Arabidopsis thaliana: one gene and its partners. The protein of the gene in region 2 interacts with the protein of the main gene of each other region in a pairwise test. Each region holds a gene or a part of one and is shown on either strand. Other genes may lie near its edges. The genes, in order: AT3G28220, ABCG16, AT1G62330 and ELIP2.

The links.
Region 1: the proteins of ABCG16 (region 2) and AT3G28220 interact in a protein complementation assay, tested with the Arabidopsis thaliana proteins (one large-scale study listed by BioGRID).
Region 3: the proteins of ABCG16 (region 2) and AT1G62330 interact in a protein complementation assay, tested with the Arabidopsis thaliana proteins (one large-scale study listed by BioGRID).
Region 4: the proteins of ABCG16 (region 2) and ELIP2 interact in a protein complementation assay, tested with the Arabidopsis thaliana proteins (one large-scale study listed by BioGRID).

The regions. Positions count from the first base shown.
Region 1 is NC_003074.8:10,520,933-10,528,812, forward strand, and holds AT3G28220 (TRAF-like family protein), read left to right. Parts: upstream 1-3,248; 5' UTR 3,249-3,487; coding exon 3,488-3,828; intron 3,829-3,925; coding exon 3,926-4,098; intron 4,099-4,269; coding exon 4,270-4,552; intron 4,553-5,156; coding exon 5,157-5,314; intron 5,315-5,407; coding exon 5,408-5,565; 3' UTR 5,566-5,801; downstream 5,802-7,880. Other genes in the region: PMZ (zinc finger (AN1-like) family protein), read left to right, coding at 1-291; AT3G28216 (uncharacterized protein), read right to left, coding at 2,346-2,492; AT3G28223 (F-box family protein), read right to left, coding at 6,737-7,545, 7,623-7,880.
Region 2 is NC_003074.8:20,413,724-20,421,445, forward strand, and holds ABCG16 (ABC-2 type transporter family protein), read right to left. Parts: upstream 5,188-7,722; 5' UTR 4,830-5,187; coding exon 2,619-4,829; 3' UTR 2,460-2,618; downstream 1-2,459. Other genes in the region: AT3G55080 (SET domain-containing protein), read right to left, coding at 318-425, 669-728, 831-941, 1,046-1,109, 1,568-1,662, 1,991-2,107; ABCG17 (ABC-2 type transporter family protein), read right to left, coding at 6,629-7,722.
Region 3 is NC_003070.9:23,043,889-23,052,339, reverse strand, and holds AT1G62330 (O-fucosyltransferase family protein), read right to left. Parts: upstream 5,573-8,451; 5' UTR 5,376-5,572; coding exon 4,914-5,375; intron 4,519-4,913; coding exon 4,426-4,518; intron 4,344-4,425; coding exon 4,244-4,343; intron 4,151-4,243; coding exon 4,089-4,150; intron 3,998-4,088; coding exon 3,909-3,997; intron 3,801-3,908; coding exon 3,680-3,800; intron 3,591-3,679; coding exon 3,447-3,590; intron 3,373-3,446; coding exon 3,035-3,372; intron 2,946-3,034; coding exon 2,705-2,945; intron 2,596-2,704; coding exon 2,287-2,595; 3' UTR 2,003-2,286; downstream 1-2,002. Other genes in the region: ALE1 (PA-domain containing subtilase family protein), read left to right, coding at 72-339, 421-693, 814-1,217; AT1G62333 (uncharacterized protein), read right to left, coding at 1,662-1,874; AT1G62320 (ERD (early-responsive to dehydration stress) family protein), read left to right, coding at 7,485-7,798, 7,893-8,048, 8,141-8,276, 8,373-8,451.
Region 4 is NC_003075.7:8,415,476-8,421,642, forward strand, and holds ELIP2 (Chlorophyll A-B binding family protein), read left to right. Parts: upstream 1-2,766; 5' UTR 2,767-2,897; coding exon 2,898-3,032; intron 3,033-3,126; coding exon 3,127-3,228; intron 3,229-3,309; coding exon 3,310-3,654; 3' UTR 3,655-3,850; downstream 3,851-6,167. Other genes in the region: AT4G14695 (Uncharacterized protein family (UPF0041)), read left to right, coding at 4,358-4,412, 4,635-4,733, 4,820-4,872, 4,970-5,043, 5,322-5,370. UniProt on the Arabidopsis thaliana protein: Probably involved in the integration of pigments into the mature light-harvesting pigment-protein complexes.

The DNA of each region.
Region 1 (7,880 bases), 9.9 Mb from region 2:
GGAGATTGTGATCCAAACAAGAAAAAGAAACCAACGTGTCCTGTAAAACGTTGCAAAGAGATTCTGACTTTTGCGAATAACCTTACTTGCAAATATTGTGGAGTCAAGTTCTGTTTGAAACACCGGTTTCCGACAGATCATGTCTGTAACAAGAAGATCATTAATACCGCGGGAACAAGCTCGAGGTGGAACGAGAGGTTTATGGAAGCTTTGAGTTTAAGAAACCAGAAAGGGTGTGGAAGAGGGAGCTCTGTTTCATCAAAATCTTCACCATCAGTTAGATCGTTTTAGTTTCTTCTCTTGTAACAATAGTTTGCATCAACCAATTCCTTCTTTATGTTCTCATGTATTTTCCATTGTTTGCAAGAAAGAAGATTAATATTTTCATGAGTAATATTTCGTAAGAGAAGGAAGAAGAATGTTTTTATTAATATTAACTTCATTGGGAAGTTTCTTCTAAATTTTTAGATTCGGTTTTGGGTCCAATTTTTTGGGTCGGTTCCAATACTCAGTAAGAAGACTACTTAGAAAATGTAAATGTGGTGCAGTGTCTGTAATCTAGATTGCATATACATTGAAGAACCCAAAGATTGAATTGTTGTTCGTATGGCTTAAATGAGGTAATGCTGAAATCGATTTGTGAACAAAAGAGAATATGTGATTAATATCATTAACATAATACTCAATTTTGCTGTACGCTAATCGACATTTGTTTCAAATGGACCGATATAGCTATGGTTGAAGAGATGGAAGAGGTTGAGAGTGTTGTTTACAAGACACAAGTAGATGTGTGATCCTTAGAGAAAGGTTTATATGATGTGGGAGCTGAGATGGAGAGTCTAGCAGGTGAGACACGCACATGTGTGACCATATCAAGTAGCTATGGAAATGAGATTGAAGTCATCAAAGCATTTTTAAAAGGATGTGAGAAGGAGATTGGAGAGCTCAAAGCCATGAACTTTTGTAGTAAGAAAGAGATTCAATCTCGACGTTACTTCAAAAATTTTATCGGGTGTAGTTTAGTTATGGTTTGTAGTCTATGTTTTCATCTTTTAAGTATGAAAAGTTAGTATGAGTTTGTTGAGTTAAGAGTTCTGATTGTATTTTATTGGATTGAGTTTGAGTTTCAATTGAAAGTTGTTGTTTGGGTTTTACATAACACAAACATTGGGCCTTAATGGGCCAACGAAATTGGCAAGGTGAAGAAGAACAAAATGTGGGCAAAAGTTTGTTGCTCATTTAAGTCACCTATATATGCATTACAACGTACGACGTATAGTGGAGGTAGGTGAGAAAAGAATCTAAAAAGAGTTCTAGAGAAGAGAGATAAAAGAGCTTCCTAAACAAGCTTTCTTCTTCCTCTTTGTTGTTCTTGAATCTTTGTTCTTCTTGAGTGCAAATCTGTAAAACCAAAAGACATCATCACAAGTTAGTGAAGCTTGGGAGCAAGAGATCTCCCCCGAGACCCCGAGACGTAGCGGTTGAGGCCGTGAACTCGGTTACCAATTTCTGTGTCTGTTTATTTTCTTACCAAGCAATCTCTATCACTCTTTTCTCCACAAAAGTAATGAATAAATAACATAATAATGTTGTATATAACATACCAAACCCGAGGCAATTACAAGACAAAAACCATTATCCTACAAATTAAAAATTCAAGACAAATAGCCAAAAACCATAATCTATATCTTGAAGCCGAGATCATAGTCAAAACCATCATCCCATCATGTTACACATAAATCCGATAATCCAAATTAAAACCATCATCCTGAACATCATAAGTTTCCCAAACCAAAAGCTTTTACACAATTAATCACTAAGTGAAATTTGTGATACTTGATTCGGACCTTGATAAGAATGAAAGTGTAATCCTTTGTATTTCTTATCTATCAATCCAATTACAAAGAATCAAAACCCTAATCGATAAGCTTGAAGTTACAGTTCTCCAATCTTATCTCCTAAGAACAGAGCACATGCATAAGCCCTAATTCTACTCACAACATCAATATGATCACGAAGGATGCTTTTCTCTCTACTCTCTCTTAGACTCTTACTATTTATAAGTTTCTTCACACGTGACTCCGATCTCTCACTTCAGTTCTCACACGTGCCAACTTCTCATGAACGTATCAGACCTTCACCAAGTTGTTTTGTGGCCGACTTTTAGCTTGGATTCCAACATTAAAAATGTCATTCTCATCATCACCTCCTCTAACATCATTTCCATCATCACAAACTCGAGCATTCTCACCATTGACGTTTTCACAAGCTCTTTTCATCATTACATTCTTCAAGAATCTATTCCTTCTCCGTAAATATAACAACCGCTTTTGTCCACTTTGCAGCTAGACACATTCTCTCGAAAATATCATCTCTAGTATACAACGGTTCAGCTCTATAAACTTCTCAAAAGGAAGCTTATACCGTATCCTTTGCCCAAACAAAGACAATCCCACCGACTCCATCATGTTATTAAAAAAATTTTCTTGCATGCACACAAGTGTGTGAATCTGGCCTCCATCATATGTAAAAACATTACCGTCTGTACAAACAAAAAAAACTATTTTTGGCGAAAAAATTATCGTCGAAATATTGTTGGTAGGAAAAACACAATTTTATTTTGTTAACTTTAAACATTAAAAAAATAAGGATATATGGTTATTAAAAATTAAAAGAGAGTAATGAAAATGAATTACATGAAAGGGTAGAATTAAAAATGAGTAGCATTGGAAGGTCATTCCTAATAATTTATTTATTATAAATTCTAGATATTTATAAAATAAAAACTCAAATATTATTATATATTATACTATAAATTAATAAAAAATATTTTCTACAAATAAAAACATTTTTTAAAAATTAATTATTAAGCATTTAATCGATAGTTTTGATACGTATATAATAAAATATAGTTTTTAGTCTTTGTATTGATTACTGAAGTTCTACATTATAGCTAAAGCTAAAGCTAAATCCAAAAACAGAGGCTAGGATCGGAACAGAAGAACAAAACTATGTTGTGGTGTAGAGCGTTTGGGTCCATTTCTTGTTGTTAGCTAAAGCTATGTCTGGAGTGTTTGACGTTACATGCTAAATTTAGGTACAACTTAAACTTTTGTCTTTTTCTTGAAAACACGTGTTGAACAAATCTTTTCTGGTCGATAACTCAAGAAATCTTATCTGGTCGCAATCCATCTTATACCGACGTGAAATCTCAAGACACGTGAATATATAACTTGTTCATAATAACATTATCACTTTTATCGAACGCACAAAAGATCCTCCGCTATAAATATTTGTGGTGAAGAACTCTTTATACCAAACAAAAAAAGCTAAATACCAAATAAATGTTGGTACTCATCATACATATATAACTAACTCACCTTTTTGGTGTGTAGATAAATATATCTAACTAACTCCATTACATATTCCAGTCATTTGCTTATAAATTATAACCGTCACACTTACCAATTCAGTCACTTAACCAAACATGTCTGAAAAGGGGTTGATAAAAAAAGAAGACCACATGTTTCAAGAGGAGAAGAGAAAGACAAACTATGGAGCAATTGGCTTGGCTTGCTTCATTTCTTGTTTCTTTGCATTCCAATTCATGAAAATCGTAACAACACAACCTTCAACAACAACAACATCATCCATTGCCGTTATCGATAGCCCAATGTCCTCCCATAAGCTATCTGATAGGAGAGAAATATGGAGAGTTATCCCACCATCTACCTATTGTCTCAAAATCGAATCTTTCATAAAATTCGCCACTTCTCCAAACGCCGAGAAGTACGAATCCCGTCCTTTTGAATCCGGTGGATACAACTGGTAAGTAGTATTTTATCCTACATTTTGCATATGTCTTTGCATCACAAATTTTCAACGACACATTTGATTGTAAGACTATATATCCTTTTGCAAACAGGACACTTATTGTCTATCCTAAAGGAAACATTAAGGAAGGAGCTCCACTTAATTACGTTTCAATGTACGTCCAAATAGACAATTCAACACTCCTTAACTCTCCAAAAGAAGTTTACGCAGAAGTCAAATTCTTCATTTATAACCGGAAAGAGGACAAGTACTTAACATATCAAGGTATATACATCCGAACGCCCTATTTATATCTTATTTATAAACTATATTGTATTAATCAAATTTTCAACGTTTAAATTTAAAACAATTGAGACGCTGATAGTTTGCATAGTTTCAAATGCCAAAATTTGCATTTAAAAACACACAATCTCAAACGCATGTCTTGGTACACAGAGACGGATGCAAAACGCTTTTTTCTGTTCAAACCATATTGGGGATATGGTAATGTTAGACCCTACACCGACGTGGCTAATCCCAATGCTGGTTGGCTTTTCGACGGTGACAATGTTTTATTCGGTGTGGACGTATTTGTCACTGAAGTTTTTAACAAATGGGAAGTGTTCTCATTCACTAAGAGTTTGCATGACCGCCTTTACAAATGGACGTTACCCAATTTCTCGTCACTAGAGAAACAGTACTATGTCTCTGACAAGTTCGTGATCGGTGGGAGAAGCTGGTGAGTTCCTCATGTCATAAATTCTTTAAGCCACATATTGATACTTAGTCCTGGATGTTCGGTTATCCATTCCGTTATCGGTTTTTTCGGTTCTAAAGTTATTATCTATTTGGTTATTTTGAAATTTCGGTTTGGTTCTTTCGGTTTTAAATTTAGTATCCATTCCGTTATTTTGATTTGAATATTTTCGGATATTTTAATTATTTTTGGATATTTCGGTTATTTTTGGATATTTTTGATTATTTTTGAATATTTTAACTATTTTATATATATTTTTAATTATTTAGTTTAAAAATAACTAATATTTTTAATTATTTAGTTTAAAAATAACTAATATTTTTGGAAATATATTTATATTTCAGATATTTTGGTTATCCGGGATATTTTGGTACGTAGCCATTTAGTTTCGGTTCTTTCGGTTCTTTCGGTTATATATAGAATTTAGTATCCATTTGATTATTTTTTAATTTTTGATTCCGTTCGATTCTGTTATTTTGTTTCGATTTTAGTTCGGTACATTCGATTAGGTTTATTTGCGCAGGCTTACTAATACTGATTCAAGAAAAAATTAACTATTTACAATATTTTAATATACAACTCTTAGGGCTTTGAAAGTGTATCCAAGTGGCGATGGCGAAGGACAGGGTAACTCGTTGTCGTTATATGTTGTTGCGGTTGATGTTAAGCCGTATGACAAGATTTACCTAAAAGCTAAGCTACGGATTATAAACCAGAGAGATTCTAAACACATGGAGAAGAAAGGTAAATTATATCGAACCATAATAGTGTGGCTAATGTTACTTACTCTATTAATTTTTTTCTTTTAGAGTTTAATTAACACTAACTTAATGACAGTTGAAAGCTGGTCGGATCAAGCAAACAGTTGGGGATTCCAGAAGTTTGTACCATTTGCTGATCTTAAGGATACTTCTAAAGGTCTTCTTGTGAATGATACATTGAAGATGGAGATTGAATTTGAAGATTTCTCTAACACAAAATACTTTCCAAGTTAAGTTTTGCATAATGCAAAACCAGAGAGCTTGGAACCAATTGTGTTCTGTTTTTTAAGTGTTTTTGTGCTAATAATTGGAGGATTGGTCTTCCTAAGGTTTAGGAGCCTATCTCCCACTTTTCCCAATTCCCTAGTTTGTAGAAATCGTTGATTCCAAGCTAGCTTTTCTTGTACTTGTTTCCTATTTAAATAAATGAAAACTAAGAATAAAAGCAGTCTTAATTTACCATTGAAAAACTCTTGTTCTTACTTCATTCTAGCTGCGACTAAGACTAACACTAACCGTGGAATAACACTTCTAAAATCAACCGAATAAGTTTGCGCGTATGATAGTAATTTGAAATAATAACAAGCTTTGCGCACCAACAATAAACATCGATCATGTTCTTAAGTTTCACGAGTGCTTCTTTGTTATTTGCTCTCTTTCATCTGTTTGTTACTCTATTATTTCTCTGGTTATGTAGTGTATATAATACATATAGATCTACCAAGCAATTCATAATGTATAATATATCTGCCATGTATACTCTATGTAAATTAAGCTATGTAACCAATCCATACTCTTCTTTCATTGTATTTTTAACAATCATCAATAAGCAAATCAAAATTACCAATATCTAATACAACTCGTTCCTTTTAGGAAATAAATAAGAAGCAAAGAAAATACTCTCTACTAGTTGATGAAGGCTTGGAAGGGAGATGACAAAACGTACGTAGCAAATCAAAGAGGAAAATCCAACCCTATCCACACAGTTTTTGGCTCTTTGCTTGCATCACAAGTCACAAAGACACATTGATTCTAAAACCATTCATTTGGAAACAGAACACTTATTGATTATCCTAAAGGAAACTAAAGAAGGGAGCTCCAACTCTGGATGGTTTTAACTTTACGTCCAAATAGACAATTCAAGATTCCTTAACTATCCTAAAGAAGTTTAGGTTAATAAAAAAGTTTTGCTCTTCCTACAATCTCTAGTGTTATCAAAATCTCATAAAAAAATTGTAGACAAAATAAAAATAAAAAATATAAGCCGCTGATGTTAAGCCCTACGACAAGATTTACATAAAAGTTAAGCTACAAATCCTCAGCCAAAACGATTCTAAACATGTATAGAGAAGAAAGGTAAATAATATCAGAAACATAACAGTTTGAGTAATTACTGCTTACTTTGTTAAGTTGCCCTTTTCCGTAATCTTATTCGCATTCGAAGCTTGTCGGTTGGAGGCGAGGAAGGGATCCGATGCAGCCAATGCGGGAGAGCAAACCTGGAGAAACATGGGTTAAAGAGGTGTTCAAACGGGCTCCAGTCTCCAGCAAAGCTCATAATGCGACCATCGCTACTATATTCCAACTTCTTGTGACGCCGAAACTTGCCTTTGAGCAAGCTAGTAGATACTAAACATTTATGCATCTCACTCCACAAATACATTTTATTAGCATCAAAAGGGTTTATTGCCAACGGAAAGTAATCTAAACCACTCTTGATACAAGCCGGAGATATTTCAGATACTATTTCCCATTTCCCACTCTTTAACCTCCATACACATAACTTAAGCCCTAAACTTCCATCATCTTTTTCTTCATTGATAATTTTCATATACATAAGAGATCCTTGGGATGTTGTGAAAGCTCTTCTAAAATACACATCGTTTTCTAGATGAGGGAACTCTATAACTCTGCATTGATCAGATTCCGTACCAGTAGCATATAAATTGTGGGATACAACAAGGTGATCACGATAGTTGTTGTAGCAAAGCCAGTAAAGGTTTCCATTCAAGCTAACAGGATTGAACCAAGCAACACGCTTCAAAAGATAAGGAGATTGGACAGTGTTGAAACTCCATAGGCCTGTCTCAGATGAATATATGAGTAAGCTAATGTCGTCGGTATCGGTGGTATCTTTCATCAGAACAACTTTGTAACCTAAAACGACGCCGTTTTCTATTCGTGTTGCAAGTCCAGAAGGTTTGTATATATCAGCTCTTCGAGGCAGACGAGGAAGAGGAGGTCACATTGTCGTGAAATTGGATTAGCAACATAGTAGGTCTGTTTCAAACTAACCAAAATCAATCCTACATCAGTGTAAGCCTCGACAGTAACCTTTTCCTTGTGGATTCCGAATTTGTGTGTTAGGAAAGAAGAGATGTAAGAGCCTAAAGATTGTGTAAGTCCCCAAGTGTCGCATCTGTAGTGAGCAATGACTTCTTTATGAGTTTCTCTGCACATGAGTGACCATGAAGGATGCGAGTCTTGATGATGAGACATAAAAAGTTCGTGTAGATATTGAGATTCGACTATTGATTTCCATTCCTTGC
Region 2 (7,722 bases):
TTGTTATGAACTGGAGTATAAAACTTGAAGAAGATAATTCAAAATTTAAACCGTAAATAATTTTTCAGCGGTATATACACAGGTAATATAGCACCTTGATAGACCCAACTCGGTTTCTCAATCAAAAGGTCTGATATCACCACGAGACCAAACAGACAAGACAAATAAGTTTTGTAACTATTTAGTCTATATGTGTGTGCCTGTCTTATGGGTTCATACACTATTCTTAACGGTACATAAGCAGTCGCTTGAAGGCCTTTTAAAGAATTAGGAACCCAACCAAACAGTTACCAGTATCACTAGAAAAACATACTTACCTGCGCTACAAATGAAAAGTCCTTTTCTATCTGAGCTTTTTGTTTTACTGTTTCCTGGTGAACTGCACTACAACGAATCATGCTGAGCTCATCTTCACCCCAAAATATCTAAGAGAATAAGGAAACCACTTTTTTTTATTATTCTGCATTGTCCAAGATAGCATAGGCAACAAAATTGATAGTAAGGCAATTAAGAAGCTTTTTGCGTACCAGGTTATATGGATCATATCTTAAACTATAACTATTTATATTTGTATATCTCTTTTGGTAAAATAACACACATTAAAGAAGTGGCCAAAACAAAAATTCAAGACTCGAACATATGACATAATAACTAGAGTGAAATCTCACCGAGCTATGCATCTCTGCAGGTTGAGGAAGTCGGCTGATATAAGGGACCCATCGAGACTTCTGATTCAAAAGCAATCAGAGACTAAGTCAAAACCAAAACACTCACATGAAATGGGAGACTTATTTTAAGTCAATTACTCAAATGTTGATGCCCTAGCTTACTTGACCCATTTTCTTCTCTCTTATTAGAACAGCAGCAAGCATTCCGATATTCCCAACTTCATTGCTCAATAAAACTCTAATATCCGAGGGGAGCTCATCTGGAGTTATTTGCTGAAATTTTAAGTTAGAACAACACTAATGGCATAAAAAGAATTTCCAATACTTCTTAAGACACATGATAACAGAAAAGCTCGTTTCAGTAGACAACAATATACCGCATTAAAAGGGACTTTCAACATGCAGTCACCAGCATAGATAACTTTGGAGGCGAACAGTGACCTGCTCAGAAGTTGATATAGTTATTAACATGGTTAGTGTATTTGACATTAAAGATAAAGCATCACACCAGGAGACAGCCTCTGGTAGGAAATGAAATTGGTTATTCTCACAATCACTCATTAAACAATCGCATAAAGATGGAAAACAATCAGATTACTAAACAAGACAAAATAACATGATTCAAAGTTGTACAATGTTTCAACTATTGATGACAAGACAGAACCATATTAAAGAACATCAAGACAAGTCATATAAAAATTAAGCTGCCACAGAAGGTATCAACAAAGAATCTGATCATTACATTGAAAGGGAACTATGAATAGAATTATTGAATAGAGAAAATGTGTCTAACAATCCATATTTTAATTGCCGGTAAACAGAAAACCGAGGTACTCGAAAAACGGATTTTGAAAAATACTTGCAAAGTTGCATCTTATTCAAAACATCATCAAGCCCACCTGCCATAGGTGGATTTCCCAATCGAAAGAGTATTAGTTATCTTTGCTCCAGCAATTCGCTCTAACCAGGGTAAGAAGTTATTGTCCAACGAAGCCTAGATATAAAATGGATAAGATGATCGTAAATCCTCTTTTGTGAGAGACATAAAAGTTCTGTACAACATCTTCTTACATCAATTAGCTCCCAAAATCAACAGTCTGTTTGGTTAACTATAGATAGAAGAAGCTAAAAGAACATAAAGGTTTCATCTTTGGTATCAATTGCTATCAGTAGAGGAGAAACATACATAACTTAGAAAAATTCTTGGAACCACACTCAGGTATGATAAAACTTTTCTAACACTTGAGATAATCAAGCTGTGAACAGTCCATCACATTGATTTCACAAATTTCACGAAAGTCTCAATCTTTCACAAATCAAACCTGAGTTTGGAGCTCTAACGTTAGTTTCCCGGCGAGACTGAAACGCTTGGCTAAAGAGCTAACATTGCGCCTTTGTTGAAACCCGAAAAGCTTCACTGTCGAAATGCAGAATAGCATCTCCAGCCAAACTGGATGGCGCGTGAGCAACCACCGCTCGTATTATGGACTCGTGTTTCGACTGCGGCTAGAGCAGAGCGGCCAGGACCAGACGATATTCTGATGCTGATTCGGTCCGGTTTGTTTCGGTTTTAAATTTCAGATAAATCGGTTTGTTTTTAATTGATTTTGTAGATAGCCTTCCAATTTTGACTTTTTGATACCTTACAAAGTGAAATGGCTTTGAGAGTTACTTGCCTCTAGCAACAGTGTCTGTGTCTCCTCATTTTTCTTCCACAATCTCAATGCCTCTATTTGAAATGTTGCATTAATTTTCTGAGTAAAAGCGATTCATAGGTGCTTTTTGTATTTCCAATTTCCTAAAGAATGATATTTTTTTTATTGATGGCAAAAGTAATACAAATGTTAAAAAGAATACAATTCAAATACACAATCAATCTACGAATTACAAGTAATGAAAAAGAATTACAATATATGTTTTTGGTTTTAGGTATCATCAGTAGTTTCAGTTTCACCTCCTCTTGTTTTTGCTCCCAAGCAACAAACACAAGTAAAACAAAATCCTAAATAGGAATCCGAAACCTACCGTGATAAGCAAGCAGTTCCATTTACTAAGCTGTGTCACTCCTTGCTGCTTCAGAACATCAGCACCCGTCGTTAAACACGTAGAGCTCGATATCCTCATACCTATCGACCGGCTCACAGAATCCAAAAGCCTCAGCTTCATCCCATACGTCAATTCTCCCAAAGGCGAGTTGTCGAAAAGCTGAACACCTCTCACAAAACATTCTGTAGGATCCGAGAACTCGTTCTGAAGAACCGCCTCGTATGGATACTTAACCAGAGAAAGATAATGAAACCAAATCCAATACTGAGGGATTCGATCTCTGTTGATGAAGAAGCCACTGAAAAGCAAGAAGTAAGCTAAAATAGCAACAACGATCGTGTAGCCTAACATCACATGTGGAACGACGCCGGATAAGAAAGTCACGAAGGAGCTTCCGGACCAGAAAGAGGCTAAGATGATTAAGCAGTAGAATAAAAAGCCCATTAGGCCTCCTTCAAGCCCAACAGCCCAAAACGTCGTCACTGCGAAAGCTAAAGAGAGGAAGATGAGCGAAGGGAAGGTAACAATGGCGTGAGAGAGAACGTAGGAGGATCTCCGGTAAGCGTTGTAAGCTGTTTCTCTCATGAAGATGTAACGTTCCTGGAGGAACACGGGAAGAGCATCGGCGCAAGTGTAGAACATTGTTGACATTGCGAATGCGAAGAACCCTAACCGCTCTTGAACTCCTTTTGGTGAATTATCCAATCGCCAGAATACGGTGGCTAAGATGAATCCGGTGACGATTACGGTGGCTAATCGCATTCCGAGTAGCTCCGGTTGTCGTCGGGAGTTGAGGATTGAGCGTCTGGTGAGAGTTTTGATTTCGATCCAGAACGGATTCGCGAATGCAGGGACGGCTAAGGTTCCGCCACCGTGGTTTATGACGGAGGAACCACCGCCGCCACCGGAGACTAGTTTTCCTCTGCTTATGCTGGCGGAAATCGCTTCTTTCAAGGTTAAATTTGGGTTTGGAGAAGCCGGCGGAGTTAGGGTTTGAGGATTGCTCTGTTTCTTCATCTCTTGCCATTTCTTGTTGAATTCAACTAATCCTCTTGTTCCTCCAGCTGATCCTTCGAGTTCTCTGATTAGATCGAGTGCAAACTCCGTTTGATTCTCGTTTTCCGGTATCGGATTACCGAACCCGGCGAAAAAGCTCGGTAGACTCGCCGGAGAACCACTAAAGACGGTGTGTCCACGTGACAAGAAGATAAGACGATCAAGTAAACTGAGAACTCTGTGACTTGGCTGATGTATTGACATTATAATGATACTGCCACTCTCTGCGATTCTCTTCAATACTTTAACCACCATGAAAGCACTTGTGGAATCTAAACCAGAAGTAGGTTCGTCGAGGAAGAGAACAATCGGGTCGTGGATGATATCGATTCCGATCGAAACTCGCCTTCTTTCTCCACCGGAGATTCCACGGTGTCCTTCGTCTCCAATGATTGTTTTAGCAGCGTTTCTTATCCCTAACTGGTCGATTAGGGCTTGAACTCGAAGCTTCTTCTTGGATTTAGGTAAGCTTCTTGGTAATCGAAACTCAGCTGCAAACATTAAGGTTTCTTCCACAGTAAGCATCGGGAAGAGAAGATCGTCTTGCATTACATAAGCTGAGATAACTTTCAGCATCCGAGATTGAAGAGCTTCTCCGTTAAGCGTTACCGTGCCCTTCAAGCTTCCTTTAGCGATCCGATTCGCTAAAGCGTCGATCAAAGTGGATTTACCTGACCCGCTAGCTCCAAGAACGGCAAGAATCTCTCCGTCACGAGTCTCACCGGAGATATTGTCTAGAAGAGTCTTGGTCTTGGAGAAAGATGTCCTCCTCCATGGAACCAGGTCGTGAAAGTCAAGTTTCCGGCGAACAGAGACGTTGTAAGTAAGGTTGTTGAAAGATAGAACGAAAGGAACAGGACGCATAAGATGATCATTATCTCCGTCAAGTGAAGAACCATCCCTGTCAAAGAATTCATGAACAGGAGTTTCGTCACCAACTTCAACCTTACGAACGTCGCTAACGTTCTTGAGAAGTTGGCCTAAAGTCAAAGATGAGCTAATAATCTCCATGGAATGAAACGGTGTTGCATTATCATCTTCTACTAGTATGCGAGACATTTAGAACAAAAGATGGTAAAGTGAGAAATGATGTGCTTACACTTGAAAATCAAAACACTCTTTGCATGATCAAAATGTTAGTCTTTGTTCTCTGTTTTGCTAGTATCTGTGTATAGGCCTTATATATATGAAGTAACGTGTGGAAGCGTGTGAACACGAAGGTTCTATGTGTTGAATGAGTTGCATCATCATGAGAAATCTGTTAGGTTTGTGTTGTTAACAATAATATTCTTAGCGTTTGGATGGAAAATGCGTTTTGGATTTCTCGTATTCAATTAGGGAGAGGTAATGGGATGACCAATAAATCTAGATTTTCCAAGGTGATAATACTAAAATACGTAGAAATGGCTGACACGTGGCGATTAGAATGGAGAATTAGGTGAAGGGTGTTGATCTAACCGAGGTATAGATAGTATATAGGATTGAGATGAGATATTTCTTGCGTTTCACATAGTGTTTGGTCAATTAATTAATGTTTTTAAAAGATTCTTCGAATGTTGGTAGCGATATAGTGATTGTTTGTATCGCAAGCAAATGTGTACCTAGATAAACTATTCACATTTTCTTTTGTTTTCGCGACCGAAGACGATTGCTTATGCTGCTAACTGCCTAAAAGTTGCAAATTGCAATAATTCCGGAACCCCAACTAATTCTACCAAATATAATATAAAAGTTATATTTGATAAAGTAGCTAGATTTGTATTTAGTTTGGGAATATAAACTCCTGTTTTTGCTATGAAAGACTACACACAATCTCCAAGTTCATTTTTTCTATTTCTTGATTATTTAGTTGGTAACGGTGGAACATTCTTTACCAAACTCAAATATTGTGTTTGGTCTTTGTTTCCTCTGTTTTATTCACAGTATACAGAAGCTGATAAAACATTCTTTTTGTTTTGTAAAGGGTGGAGTGGTGGTTTAAGAGAAATATAATAAAAATCGTCAAGTTTGTTGCTAAAATTAAACATGCATGCGAAAATTACACGAGAATCATAAAGATGGTGTCACATTTCAAATACTATTTGTTAAGAAAGTAAAAATAGTGATGTCTTTGATCCATCCAGGGAAAGAAGAAACAGATCAAAAGGTTAGGCAACTTCCTCTTAAGTAGTACTTGGTCAAACTTCTAGTGATGGACACAATGGTAACATGAAAGCAAAATTGACGTACTGGCTTAGCTTCTTGGATTTCCAATCCTAAACTTTGACTTCACTGTTACATCTTTTTGGTTGACATTTTGAAGTTTAGGTGACTAACTTCTACCTACTGTAGTCTTCCTTACCGCCATAAGAAAAGGGTCAAAGATTTATAATACCATCTAATAAAGCTTATAAGAAAGTTGGCTACTTTGAATTCTATTTTCGACCAACTGTTTAGTTGTATATACTTTTGTTTTTAAAAAGTGATGCAATTTGAATTTTGTCAAATACGTTATGTTTACACCGACCACGAAAGATGGCATATAGCTCACACGCACATTAAAACTACTAAATTACTTCACTGGTAGCTTGTGGTATCTTTATATTAGTTTGAACTTTAAACTATTGATGTAGTTCATATTGTTAAGTTAAAAACATTACCAATTGTGAATTAAACTAAAATCTTAGTCCTTTATAAAATTGTGAACCTAACATCATGTAAAATGTTAGATGTACGATTCTTTCTTTAGACAATATATGATAGCTATGAAAGAAAAAAATAATAATTATACAACATATATCATCAATATCTCAAATTCAAAAAGACAATTTTGCTTTCACAATAAAATTTCTGTTTCGGAAAAATTTACATTATGGCGTTCACGCCCTCTTATTCTTGCTTCCAAGCAACAACGAAAAATAAAACAAGATCCTAAAGAAGAATCCCCAAGCTAACGTTACCCACAAGCAACCCCATTTATCCAGCTGCTCAATTCCATGCTGCTTAAGCAAATCAGAGCCCGTCGTCAAACACGTTGATTCCGTTAACTCCATCCCCAAGTAACCGCTCATTGTCTCCAGAAGCTTAGCCTTTGTCGTTTCAGATACTCCTTCCATTATTGTATTATCAAACACTTGGTTTCCTCTCACGAAACAACGGGAGGGATCATCGAATTCGTTGTGCAGAACAGCTTCGTAGGGATACTTTAGCAGAGAAATGTAATGAATCCATATCCAATAAAGATGGATTCGATCACGGTTGACGTAGAATCCGCTGAAGAGGAGGCAGTATGAGAGATAGCCAAAGGTGACCATGTAACTCATCATCACGTTTGGAATCACACCGGAGACAAATGTAACAAACGAGCATCCTGACCAGAAGGACGCGAAGATGATCATAAGATAGTAGATAAAACCTGCCAGACCACCGTTTAGACCAACGAACCAGAACGTGGTCGCTGCAAAGCCTATGGAAAGTGCGAAGAGATGAGGCAGAGTTACTAAAGAGTGAGATATAACGTAGGAAGATCTTCGGTAAGCGTTATGCGCGGTTTCTCTTAAGAAAATGTATCTTTCTTGGATAAAAGCGGGTAAGCCATCCGCGCAACTGTAAAACATTGTGGCCATTGCAAAGGAGAAGAAGCTTAACCTTTCTTGGACGCCTCTAGGAGAGTCATCTACTTTCCAGTAAACCGTAGCCAAGAGAAAACCGGTCATCATGACTATGAAAACTCGTGTTCCGATAAGCTCGGGCGTTCGGGTCCAGTTTATCATGTAGCGTTTAGCTAAGATTACGGTTTCGACCCACCATGGATTTACGTATGAAGGAATAGATCTATATGAAGTAGAGACAAGTTTGCCTCTTGAAATGCTTGCATTGATGGCTTCTCCCAAAGATGATGAGTTATGGTGAGGTTCTTGACTAACTCTTAGCTTCCTATGTTGCCAATTTCGATTGAATTCGACTAAACCTC
Region 3 (8,451 bases), on a different chromosome or scaffold from region 2:
ACTGGCCATTTGATTTGCATCGAAATTATATTTCAAACGTTTCCTCACATTTTGAGACTTTCTCATGTTAGATTATTTTGAGATACTACGAAGAGAAAACCTTTAGAGACACGAGAGGAGTGGCGACACAATTTGGGGCACGTGCTAGAATAGGCGAAGGCCGAAACTCGGTCTTCGCCGGAAAAGCACCGGTGGTGAGCAGATTTTCTTCGAGAGGGCCAGCTTTTATTGATGCAACTCGGAGTCCTTTAGATGTACTTAAGCCAGATATTCTTGCACCTGGTCACCAAATTTGGGGTGCTTGGAGCCTCCCTAGTGCCTTTGATCCTATTTTGACAGGTTCTAACTTTACATCCCTCATTTTTTGTTATCTTATGAAATTTACTCCCATAAGTTTAAAATTGATCATTTTGTGAGTAGGACGAAGCTTTGCCATATTGTCGGGAACAAGCATGGCGACTCCTCATATAGCAGGGATTGGTGCGCTCATAAAACAACTTAATCCTTCTTGGACTCCAGCCATGATTGCATCTGCCATCTCCACCACGGCTAACGAATACGATAGTAATGGTGAAATTATATCAGCGGAGTATTATGAGCTAAGTAGATTATTTCCATCTAATCATTTTGATCATGGTGCGGGCCATGTTAATCCTGCTAGAGCCCTAGATCCTGGACTAGTTTTACCCGCTGGTAAGTTTTTTACATATCATGGAAAGGAATTGATAAATTATACAAAGTTTGTGCTATTAATGTAGTAAAACAAAATCTTATAGGTAACTTTATAATATCATTTTTGGGGTATTGGACCAGGTTTTGAAGACTACATAAGTTTCTTGTGCTCACTGCCAAACATTAGCCCAGCCACTATCCGAGACGCGACAGGAGTCTTGTGTACCACTACGCTTAGCCACCCAGCGAACCTTAACCATCCGTCAGTAACTATATCTGCACTTAAAGAGTCACTTGTGGTGAGAAGAAGTTTCCAAGACGTCTCCAACAAGACTGAGACATATCTTGGTTCGGTTTTACCTCCCAATGGTACAACTGTACGGTTAACCCCAACTTGGTTTACCGTACCACCACAGAAAACTCAAGACCTAGACATCGAATTCAATGTCACACAAGTCTTAAACAAGTTTACATTTGGTGAAGTTGTTCTTACTGGAAGCTTAAACCATATTATAAGAATACCGTTGTCAGTTAAAACCATTTGAAAACATAAAATTTTATTGTTACTTGTCGATCTCACTTAAAATAAGGTCTTTATTCTTAAAAATTTCCAACGAAAAGGTTATTGACACTCCATCAAATAGGAACGGAGATAAGTTTTTTCATAAAATGAATGTATGGAATAAGGAAGAGTTATTTTTTTTATTTGTTCAGCGGCTCTCACATAAAACGTAAACAACAAACTAGTTATTATATTCTAAATTTTACATTACAAATACAAAATCAAATAAAGTGCAAGCGTGCTCCGTTTCAACCTACCACCCTGCGAAGGTTGAGATACATTCTAATTACACATATGAAGGATGATTACACAGATGAGCCTAATACACATGAAAGTGTTACACATATGAAATCTTTAAAGATCTAAGATGTTTCGACAATATATATTTCGAATTATATACTTAAATAGACCAAAACATTCATGACGACTAATATGGTGGTCTAGGAGGGCGTGGCCCAAGAAGTCCTGGAAACCAAGTAGCTCCGGGAAGTGGAGGTGGTGGATCAGGTCTGGGAGGAGGTGGAGGTGGTGGCTGAGGTCCTGGAGGAGGTGGAGGAGGGCGAGGCTCCGGAGGCGGTGGTCTTGGTGGCGGTGGATGGTGGAAAGGAGGAGGATGACGATGAGGAGGAGGATAAGGCATTTTGTGAATTGTTATTGCAATATCTGTCTTGTGTACTAACTTAGTTTATATATAACATCAAGATGAAGAATCATTGTTACCGACAAGTCTTTGAAGTGTAAAACAGTTACTCATTAAATAAGTGCTTAGTAGAATGGTAGTTATCCACCTAATCCTTCAAGCTAACTTTAATTCTTCTGGAAGGATTTCATACTTATGCATGTATAGAGAGATAAATTTCATACTTACCACCGGTTTACCAAACCCAATCTTAGTATTTCCAGCATCAAAATACCCCCAAAACCAAATACTAATAATACCATATTGGTACCAAACTCAAGCTTGGTACTCACTAGAATGTGTAGCCGCTACAAATGCCATGAAAAATATGAAGACCGTTTAAAAAACCGAACCAACAATGTAAACCAAATAATCAATCTTCATTACACATACATTCTTTACATCTTGGATAACGGTAAACGCTGCGTCCCGTCGGTCTAACCAATACATGTTTGGTTTGCCTAACCGTTTTTCTCACTCTCTGCTCGAACACTTTCCACTCTATAGTATTGTTCTTCAACAATATGTCTGAGAATCTCCGTTTGTTCGGTCTGATCGTCGGCATTTTCCCTGCTCCGTAATATATCCGATAACCCGAGACCAGAGACGACAATTGGCTCCCTGAATCCGTCATCGCAAAGGCGTCTGATGCAGCGCATGCAATGAAATCAAGAACCGCTAGCTACATAACCAGAAAGAAAAATATGCAATTCTTCGGTTTAGTTTAGCGGAGAAAGTTAACCGATAAACCGAAAAGGAAGTTTTGACGGGTTTTCTTGTTTTCATTTCACCTGAGATGAGAAGTTCTTGAAAGGCTCTAGCTCAGTTTGTGAGAGTACATTCTCTTTGGTGACTAGATTCGGGTAGAGACTCGTTAAAGCTGCTAACCGTTTATTCCCACCATATATATTCGCACCAGCGACGAAAACACGTGTCTTCCGACTAAAACCCAGACCCGCAAGCATAAGCACGGCTTCTTCAGGTGATAAAGGACAAAGTCCTTCTGTCCTCAGATCGTCTGGAGATGGCATTCTGCATAAGAGAAAACAAAAGGGCATTCAGTGAGATACCAAAACTGAAATAATAATGTGAAAAAGAGTTAAGAGAGGAAAGGAACAAACTTTTGCGTCTTTGTTAGATTTGCCAACGTCGGGAAATGCTTTTCCCGGTAAGCATCAAGCTCTGCCTTTTCCGCATCACCTCCTCCGAAGTAACAGAGAGAATGAGCCACCATATCAATTTCAAACCTGAGATGGACTGCTAGATACTTAGAAGCCTTATGGAGAGGACCTGCTTTCTTGTCCAATATGAATGACGCAAATTTTGGACCGACGAGATACGGGTCAACTGGTGCAAGGTGTGATCCACTATCTCGTAATCTCCTTACGAGTATCGCACCCGTTTCTTGTATCTTCGGAACGAAGTTTAGCGCATGAAAATTACATCTACACCGCAGCCTCTACTCCCCAAGAAAAAGTTGGATCATTACGGGTAATATATCGATATCCACGGTGCTAAAAGAAGGTTCTTTACCTGTAACTCAAACGGTATCGGGTCAAAGGCCAAACGGTTTCCGAATCCTAAGAAATGGACGACTCTGTTTTTGAGTAGAAGAGGAAGAATGTGCTTCATATAAAACCCGGGCTTGGCTTCTTTCATGACATCTATATCCGTAACCTTAAAAAACGACATAAAAGAGAACTACATTAGAAAAAATACGAAGATGAAATCGGTTTTTCACACTAAAAGCGGTGTAAGGAACTTACGACGCTGCCAATAGCCTCAAGATCTAGAGACTGAAGCTCTTTGGGTAGTTTCTTTACAATCCGGATATCAGGAGAAAGATACTTTATAAAGTGTTCCACCTGATAGATATCTCCAAACTGACTATGAAACATATATATACCATTCAAGAGTGTTAAAATTTGACGTTTTCAAGAAAGCATCAATTATAAGAGAAGGAGACAGAGAACGGAGGGACCTTACAATAGTTACCTTGCATCGGTCCAGACATCGCTGAACATAAATTTAGGAATAACGAGTGTCGCATTTAGCATCCGCGCAACAACAACGATGTTACAAACCTGTTTTAATAATGTCCCCGCGAAATCCAACGGTTAGTCAATATAAAGAGTGGGACATGACAAAGTAATGTGTAACGCAATCAAAACTTACAGCAACTCTCTGTTGGTTGATCCCACCATTTGCAGTTACCATTATATATCCATTTTTACCATCTAAACTCCACACACAAAAAAAAACACAAAAATCAGAAAAACTATACCTATATAGTACGAGAAATAAACTCATTGAGAGTAAGAGTAAGAGACCACTAGGCTTCCAGGAACGTTGATCAGCACAAGGCTTCCAAGCCAAAGCTTGGTCCTTTGGTTCTCTCCACAACTCTTTTGGTTCAAGCTTGTTTTGCCCCTAACGAACACAATGTCTCGGTCAGTAGGCTTTTCGGTTTCGGTTTAAGAATTCGAAATGTCGAAAGCGGAAAGGATAATACCTCAGCCAAAGCATGAGCAGCATAAGCCAACAATCTACCATATGTTCCATTATATGTCTTCTTTGGTTTTCCCATCTTTTTCTTCTCTTTATGCTACCAAATCATAAGTCACTCAACATCAAATGAAACTTCCATAACCATTAATCCAAATGCAAAAATCATGTAATATATAACATTACACTACATAAACTTACCATTTACTACAATAATTTCATACTTCACCTAGCAAAATCTCAAACATGTAAACTTTGTCTCCTAACCACAGCATTTTCACATTCTAACTAACAAATCTCAAACAGAGGATTTTATTTTTCTCTAACCAAATCTGTATTTGAAGTAATTGTATATTAGACAAAAAGTTTAAATTTTTACACAATTTAACCATTTGGGGATTTGAAATTGATTTGACAAGAAACAGACTGTTAAAAAGTTAAAGTTCACAGTAAACTGACTGACCAATCACATTATTAAATTTTTAACTAATTTACCTGTACATTCGCCGACACTTTAACGGATACCCGTTTCACACTCGAGTTCGGATCCGGGTTCAGTTTCGGTTTAAGATTCGTTTTTTTCGAGAATCCTCTCCGTAGCCAAGCTCGACCTTCATGGAGCTGAGAGAGCATAAACCAATTAACGAAAATGAAGAAACCAACAAGTACGATTACAAACGCGGCGGTTTTCGCCGTTCTGATTCGTTTCCTTTTTGCTCTCTTAACCGGATTTTTCAAATTCCGGTTTGGATCTCCGTTGATCCAAGACAAAACCGACCCGATACAATTCGACCCGGTGTTAAGAATCTTGTCTCCAGCTACTTCTGAAAAGCGGGTTGGACCGAGACGTGTCGGTGATTGAACCGGTGAAGCTCCTCCTCCTCCATGGATCAGATCTTGGACTCGAAGAACATCGCGAGTCTCTGGTTTCTCTTCGTCTGGTCTCTCAGAAGACATGGCTAAGCTCACACTCTCTCTCAGTTCTGTTCGATCGTGAGAGATAGATTTGCTGAATTTAACGAAGCTAGCGAAGAAAGAGCGAAGTGAGTGTTTTTTGCTCGAATTTCAGTGAGGATTTTTCTTCTTTGTCTGAACGTAATTATTAAAGTTTTTTTTAAACCTTGAGATTGACGCTGGTATTAATTTAAGGTCCCTGTCCTTTAAAATCATTTTAATCTTTACCTATTATTTTATCTAATACGAAATATAACCCTACGTATGTCCGTTGTGGTTTCAAAGTTATAAGAAATTGATCAAGTAGACTGTTCTTAGTAGTTGTTATCATTTCTTAGAATTAATAACATTTTGGTAAGACAGAATTAATAATTTTGTTGAGTATTTAAGATGAATAATAATTTTTCATTTAGCGATGTGTAAAGTTGGATTAGCTCCTACCAACTACGTAAATAATAAAATTGAAAACTAGTTTATTACTACTATCTACAGCTTGTTGAAGCTATATCTATGAAATTTGAATAATTTTTCATTGTGTTTCATAACATAAACAAGTAGCTAAACTAGCTGTCAAAAACAAAAATAGTTGCAAGCATGTGTTTGGTATATTGGGCTTTTTGTGTGGAGGGTTTCAAATACGCTTTCTGCATATCAGAGTAATATGATTTTAATTGGGGCCTAGACATCTGTTTTTGGTGTTATATTAATTAGACAAGAGTTAGAGAACTTATTAATTTCCTTTTGTCAGGCCTTTTTTTTTTGTTAAAGGAAATATAGCACATGCAGACACTTATTAACTTACTTTTTCAAGATAATTAAGTTAAGAATTTAAAATTGTATTTACAACCATTTTAATATATGTATATAGCAATTGATACAAATGTTTACTTTTTCGACATGGTACTAGTACTACACGTCTACAAGGACTAATATAATGAGAGTATTAAAAAACAATTGCAGTTTTGATGTAATCCCAGATAGTCTTAACGCACGTCCTTAGATAAATTTCTGTGACACTGATGAAAGGTGGTTATTAAAAAAAGAAAATGAAGAAAAATGTAGCTAGATTATTCACATTGATTTGGACGTAAGAAAAGTAATTCGTATTGGGAATAAAATAGACAAAAAGGTGATTTATACTGAAGAATATGATTATTAAAAAAAAACAAAAAAAATTATAGACTTCAACGTGATGGCACGGTATTTGCCTATTTTCATTATTTTCTTACTTGAGTAGTATTAGTAACAATTTAATTAAGCTAATTTCATGATTTTTTACTTTAGTCAACTATGAAGTCATTATCTTATTTTAGCAACAAAGTTATTATTTTAGTTATTTTAATCTAACTTTATCTCCAAAATAAGCATGGGTATATCTAAAACAAATAAGATAGATGTGTAATAATAATAAAAAGTTAGAGCTGGTTTAAGTTTAATTTAGGAATAAACCCAATTGGGACATTTTTTTGAAATGAAACTTTTTCAAGGAATAATAATAGTCTCTTGAGTTAGACGGCCGACCAACAACAACTAGATTCAAAGATTTTAAAAAGATCCAACTTTTTCATCATCTTCTTCTTCTTCTATTTCTCCGTGTATTTTCAGCGTTTTGTATCAACAAAAACGGCACGAAGTTTCTTTTCTTCTCTTCCCCATTTTTGTGCTGTTAACAGAACCAATCTCTCTGTTTTTTCCATACTCTGTTTTTTCTTCCCTCTCTCTGTTTCTGTTTTCAGAGGAAGGAGAAGAGAAAACTAAAGAAACTTGTGCAATACTTTTCCTTGAAGAAAATTTAAAGATTATATTCGAAGAAGCTTTTATACAAACCACACAAATCTCCACTTCACCAATATGATTTCTTGATTCATCTCATATTATTTTCTTCTTCAATCTGATCGCAAGAACATTGTGAAAAAAAAGAGTCAACGAAAGGGCCAAATTTTTTTGAGTAATGAGTTTCTAAAGGTGAGATTAGTATAAGCGTCTTTGACTATTATACAAATCTAAAACTTGATCTTTGTGTCTAAACTCTTATGACAATTTTTAGGGCTCTTATATATTTGCAGGTGAAGAAAGAATTTGTGAGGGTTTATTATAAATTAGTTTGAGGAGATGGCGACATTAGCAGATATTGGACTAGCAGCAGCGATTAATATTCTAAGTGCATTGATATTTCTATTGCTATTTGCAATCTTGAGGATTCAACCATTCAATGATAGGGTTTATTTCCCTAAATGGTACTTAAAAGGTGTTAGAAGCAGCCCTGTGAATTCGGGTGCTTTCGTTAGCAAGATTATGAATTTGGACTTTCGATCATACGTTCGGTTTTTAAACTGGATGCCTGATGCTCTTAAGATGCCAGAGCCTGAACTTATTGATCATGCTGGTTTGGATTCTGCTGTTTACTTGAGGATTTACTTGATTGGGTAATCAAAAAATGTTTTGTTCTTGCATACAGTTACTAATTATAGCTTTGTTTTTTTTTTCTAATGGTTTTTTTTTTTGTTTACTATTTTATAGGCTTAAGATCTTTGGTCCGATTGCATTACTTTCATGGTCAATTTTAGTACCTGTAAATTGGACAAGTGATGGATTGCAGCTAGCAAAACTTCGTAATGTAACATCGAGTAATATCGATAAGCTTTCGATTTCGAATGTCGAACGTGGATCAGACAGGTTTGTTAGTGAAAGAAAATTATGTAGTTGCTACTTCTGATTTTTGTTAAAAACTTTATAATGATTAGAATTTTTCTTAATTTGGTAAAAAGGTTTTGGGCACATCTTGTGATGGCTTATGCATTCACATTTTGGACTTGCTATGTACTAATGAAGGAATATGAGAAAATTGCTGCAATGCGGTTATCTTTTCTCCAATCAGAGAAGCGACGTGCTGATCAATTCACTGTAAAGATTATTGTTTTCATTAATATAGAATCTCTCTTTGCTATTTGGTCTGAAGAGATAGTTTCCAATTTTTAGGATATTGTATGCATTTGACAGGTTCTGGTTAGGAACGTACCACCGGACTCAGACGAGTCGATTAGCGAAAACGTGCAGCATTTCTTTCTTGTTAACCACC
Region 4 (6,167 bases), on a different chromosome or scaffold from region 2:
GAATTAGGACCAGTTCAAAAATCGAACATTATCCAAGAATACGTCGATGTTCGACCAGCACTTTGCTCATGAGTCATGACGATATCAACTTGGCAAATTAATATTGTAATCACGTGAAGGACCATGCGACATCATCATCATCATTTGTGGGGTAATAACATAAAACTAATGCCGGCTTAAGAAAAGTGTGTTCATTTCTTAAACTTAAATCACATTTGGAGGACTCATTATAGAGCTCATCACCTTTGACCTGACTTTATCTTGACCTGAAGCTACCAGGAATTTATATCTGAACTTTTGTTTCCTTTTTGACGGCGAAATAATTTGTTTAGTATAAGTTTTGTCCATTCTTTACAGGTCAAAAACATAATTAATACTAATAACGACGATATTTTAATGTTTCCTCTTGCATGAAAAAGCATTGAAAATGACGGAGTTGATTCACTTTATTGGTGGCTGCTTTGGGCTCACATTCAACATGTGCCAATTAAGAATTCTGAGGGTCGACCTACCCATCCTCATTCACTCATAGCGACAATTCAAAACAGATCTACTGGGGCTTTAAATAAGGGTAAGGCCTTGTTCCGAACTGGGCTTTAGTAAGATATTATAACATTTCTGTTCCAAATACAGTACATCAAAACTTGAATCTAACTTATATCAACTTCAATAATCATCAATTCATCAGTTAAAAAAACTCCTTCTTTCATGGTTTAGTTTATCAAAGATATGCATTTGATTTATAAGAAAACCCAAAGAGTATTTGTTACCTAGTCGTCCCCGGGTTTCACGGGGTTACAATAAGAGAAACAAAATGGGCCACATAATATTTATTTATTTAGTGATTCTGTCGTTTAAAAAAAAATTAGTTTAACACATTGTCAAAGTTTGAACTAAGGAACTTGTAACTCAAATACTGAAACTTTAACCATTAGACTACATTTTTATGCAAATTCGGCCAAAACTAAATAATAATATGATTAGCGGCCGCAAGCTTATGTTTTGCTTGCTTGGCCTTGTGGCCGGCTAAATAACCTAAGTATATAATCAATAAATTACATAAACGACCGGATAAATCAGAACTTAATTATAATGTTAAAAGTAATTAAATGAATGATGACCCTCGTCGTCTCTCCTCTTAAAACACAATAATCTCATAAATACAATTTTTATATGAAGTCTTCACAAACTACTATAAATTTCCCAAAGTTGTTCTCTCTCTTTGTCCACTCGAAGACTCATGGGGATAAGAAGGCACTCGTGTTATGGGCTTCGGGGCTTTTTATTGTTCGCCCTTTCGAGGACCTTCTCACATGTTTGGACTTTTGAGTCTAAATGCCTTATTTCCTCACGAATGACGTGAACATTTTTTCGTCCTGAACTCAAAAGTATCAATTACACACTTCACACTACTAATGGTCAAGTTTTTTCGTATTTGAAACTACAAATGTAAGTAATATATGCGATAAATTTATTATCCTCTGCTAGTAAAATCCATTAAAAAAAACTACCAATGTGGGTGTATGTTTTCTTTCAGTATATATAAAGAGTTTTCGCAGAGAGCACATATCGATGGTGGTACATCAAATCTGATCATTCATATCTAAATAATTGTTGTTGAGTTTTCTATATGTGTGGAACGTTAGATTGCTTAAGCTAGAAATTGACACAAGAGTTTGATCACCGAGTTCCTGCCTCCTGGCCTCTAACCGGTACGTCTCGGGTGGGAACTGTCTCCCACAACTTTTCACTATCAAGCAAAAAGTATTACAAGCACTAATAGAGGTTTCTCTTCTCCTTGTTACAAATTTAGAAATTAACTCACACACAAAAGACAATAGAAAAGGAGACTATACCGACACGAAGACTATGCCCATATCTTCACAATTGTGCTATTATTTACCGTTCTAATCTGGAAAAAAAAACAGCGCACGTAGGAGAATTGGGCACGAAGACATGAATGGGACACATAAAGGATCAAAAGAGTCATCATGGGTCTGCCATGATGAAAGTTAAGAAAGTTCCAATACGCGCGAAACAAGATTGAATGCGACTTCTCTCTATACCAAAAACGAATCTCCCAAGTCCCAAGTGAATATTGTGAGCCACTAACTTGTTATTAACATTTTGAGACAAAAAAAAAATTTGTACGTGTTTTTGCCAAACCCACTTGGCCATGACCAATCAGAAAAAGACAAGGAAGATGTGTATCTATGTGTAATGAGGAGGCCACGCCATCAGTTTACTTGCACTTTTCCAACTAGACGTGGCCTCTCACCGATCTCAACCTCACTTTCCTCTCATTTCTCAAATTTTATTGGCTACGTGTTTTTGTGTTTAGCGTTCAACCCAAATATCGATATATTCTTCTTTTTTTTTCACATTTTTAACGATTTCGAGCAAAATAATTCGATTTATTTGTATAATTTTAATATGGTAGTTTTACAAATAATGAAACGAATGACCAACTGATTTGTTAGGTGTTACAATAAATATGGAAAAAATCTCATAAGTTTGAAAACATTTATTCTGAGGAAACTTTTTCTTCCCCAAAAGAAAAAAAAAGTTTAAAGTGGAAAAAAGAAAAAAAAGGAATAAAAAGTTTGAATTCAGTTTTTTTCTTTTCTTTGATAGATTTCTTTCTACTTATTTATTACTCTACTACACACCACACAAAAACAAAAATAAAATAAGTAATCATAGTATCCCATAAATCAGTAAAGATAAATAAAATCCAGAAAATACTGGGCCTATCATTTTCCTTCACCAACTCTATAAATGAAGAGATAATCCTACAGTTACACCTCAAACCAACTCCATCTCACTTCTCAAGTCTTATAATTTATTCATTTCTCTCTTCTTCATCGATCTTCGGCTTTTAGAAAACCTAATCAGAAATGGCAACGGCGTCGTTTAACATGCAGTCAGTGTTCGCTGCTCCTTCCGGTGTATTGACTACACGCAACATCAGAAACACAAACCAACTCTTCTTCAAGAGGATTGCTCCGGTAGGAGTCAGATGCATGGCTCAGGTATATATACACTAACCTCATAGTCCTTCCACTTCCCTACGTTACTTATTTGACTTTTAATCCTGACCGTTCCTTACATTGACTATTTTTTTAGGGCGATCCTATCAAGGAAGATCCTTCTGTGCCCTCGACCTCGACTTCGGCCACTCCACCACAAATGCCACAGTCTCCTCCTCCACCAGTTAGCAAGCCTAAGGTATGATCTAATGATCAAAGTCATTAATATATATCACTAGCTAAAAAAATGAAGCTAATGAATAATTTTCTTATTGTCTAGGTGAGTACGAAGTTTGGAGATTTGCTAGCGTTTAGCGGTCCAGCACCCGAGAGGATCAACGGGAGACTAGCAATGGTTGGATTCGTGGCGGCCATCGCCATGGAGTTATCAAAGGGAGAAAACGTGTTTGCTCAGATCTCTGACGGTGGTGTCGGGTGGTTTCTAGGAACAACAGCGTTGTTGACGTTGGCATCGATGGTTCCGTTGTTCAAGGGAATAAGGGCAGAGGCAAAGTCAAAAGGGTTCATGACTTCAGACGCCGAGCTATGGAACGGTCGGTTTGCGATGCTCGGTCTCGTTGCGTTGGCCTTCACCGAGTACGTCACTGGTGGGACTCTAGTCTAAAGCTAAAGCTTTTTGTTTGCTAGTTTAAGGACAAATTTGGAGAATGATTATGTAACGCATAGATTGATTTAATACTATGAGTTTTAAACAGTGTGTCAACATGAATCAAAATTTAAAACCATGAAAAAAACATTATAAAAATTTATTTGAAAAAGTACTTCAAAAGTTTTCTTATAAGATAATGTGAATGGAGAAGAAGAAGTAAAAAATAAATTTTAGCTTCTATCCAAGGTTTGAGAGTTTATGCATTCTTTTGAAATGAATCAAGAGCCAAGAATAATTAATTATGCTCTTCCTTGTTATTATCGACCAATAGAGTCATCATGTGTCTGCCATAATGAAAGTAAAGCAAGTTCCAAGACGAAACGAAATTGAATGCGATTTCTCTCTAACAAATCACCTCATCTCAATTCTCAAGCCCATGGGTTAGTCTCATCAAAGCCCAATCAAAGCGTCAATGCTTCCCAAGAACAAAAAAAAATATATTAAGATGAACAAACAAAAAAACACTTAAAAGAGGAAAGATCTGGCCACTACAACACTACACGATAGTACGATCGATGAATATAATCGGAAAGATTTGAGTGGCTCAATTACATATTGCTTATACGACGTCGTTTTGAGTAGCATCATTTCGTTAATATTTATGTAGGAGACTGAAACAAGACAGAGAAAAGAGAATCTCCGAGGAAAACAAAAGTTGATGGCGACGTCTAAGCTTCAAGCTCTCTGGAATCACCCGGCAGGACCAAAGACAAGTGAGTTATCACATTGTTTCATCAATAATATATTACTCTTTCTTCTTCCGTTTCAATTAAGACTCTATTGAAACGTTACTATTGGAAAATGTTGAATTGTTTATAGTACAGTTCTTGACAAAAAAAAATCTATATCACTTTAAATCCTCTAATGAATAATATATTCTAATTGTAAACAGTTTCTCTCTTTTTTTGTTGTTGTTGTTGTTGGGTATTAATCAGTTCATTTCTGGGCTCCAACATTTAAGTGGGGTATAAGCATTGCTAACATTGCAGATTTCCAGAAACCTCCAGAAAATATTTCGTACCTTCAGCAAATTGGTAAATAACTACTACTCTTCAGAAATCTCTAATCTTTCTTGTTACAATTATTGTTATAAACATATTATCCATAATTATTGTATTAGCTGTGACATGCACTGGAATGATTTGGTGTCGTTGCAGCACTATAATTACTCCTGTAAGTTTTGTTTGCTTTTCGAGTTTTACTTTTGTGATTGGATTCTTGGTTTTGGTTTATCGATCTGATTCTTTGGACTTTTGTTTTTTTTTAACAGAAAAACTGGAACCTGTTTAGTGTTAATGTTGCTATGGCAGCTACAGGGATATACCAACTTACTCGCAAAATAAAGTGAGAATCAAACCCACTTTTTTGTTTTGCTTGTGTTTTAACATAGATAACAAATTCATCAGCTTACTATATAAAACATTTCTTTTGCTAAGTTAAACGCAATCAGAAAGGTTTGGTTTGGCGTTTACAATCAGCAAAGGAAATTTTGCTTAATATGTAATGCAAACAAAGAGTCGAAGCTATTTTAAACTCGATTTTTATGATGATTGTCTATGATAGTATGATTTTATCTTTTGATACATCAATGAAATGCTTATTAACTTTTTTTTTGATATTAGGTATGATTATGTATCTGAAGCAGAGGCTGCTGTTGAAATTGAAGGATGATGATGATGAAAAAGATGAAACATTTGACATGTGAAAATGTTCGTTCATTAGTACTGTCTTGTTAATGGACCTCTAGTAGCATATGCCAATGTTTGGATTTTTGTTAGATAGTGAATGGTACGTTACATGCTTGCTAAAGATTTTTATATTATTTGGGACAAGATTGATAGTTGAGTTTATGTAAGATTAATCAGTAATTAGATCAAAATAATAACTCTATATCTCTTAAAAATATGTTACCTCTTTATCAATGACTAGATGAGTACCCGCACTACGTGCGGGTTTACGTATTATTTACAAATTATTTTATATAATGTTTGTTCATATAAAGTAAAATTGAATGCATAGGTTTTGAAACATAAATATGATTTGTAATTGTTTTTGAAAAGCCCAACTATATTAGTTCATCTGAAAAACGAATGTGATTGAATTGTTTTTATTGTTGTTTTAGATTCTCAGTTTTTTTTTTGAATTTATATATCCTTGCTTTTTCAGTTATATGTATAGATTGTGAGACGGTGAAATTTTAGAAAATTTATTTCTTACACTAAAAATATAACATGTCTTTATTAATCATATCTCTGCATATTCAATCTAAGCATATTCAACTTGATGTTCTTGGAAAGTTTAGTTAAGTTCTTGTCATAATCTTATATCTTACGTATTAGTTATAAGGATAGCTCCTCAAATATCTTTCAAATTACTTGTTTTCTTAGCATAGATCTCGAAAAGCTTAGATATATTTAATCTGCATATTCATTTAGTTTCTTTCATAATAATCGTCTAATTTTTAGGCT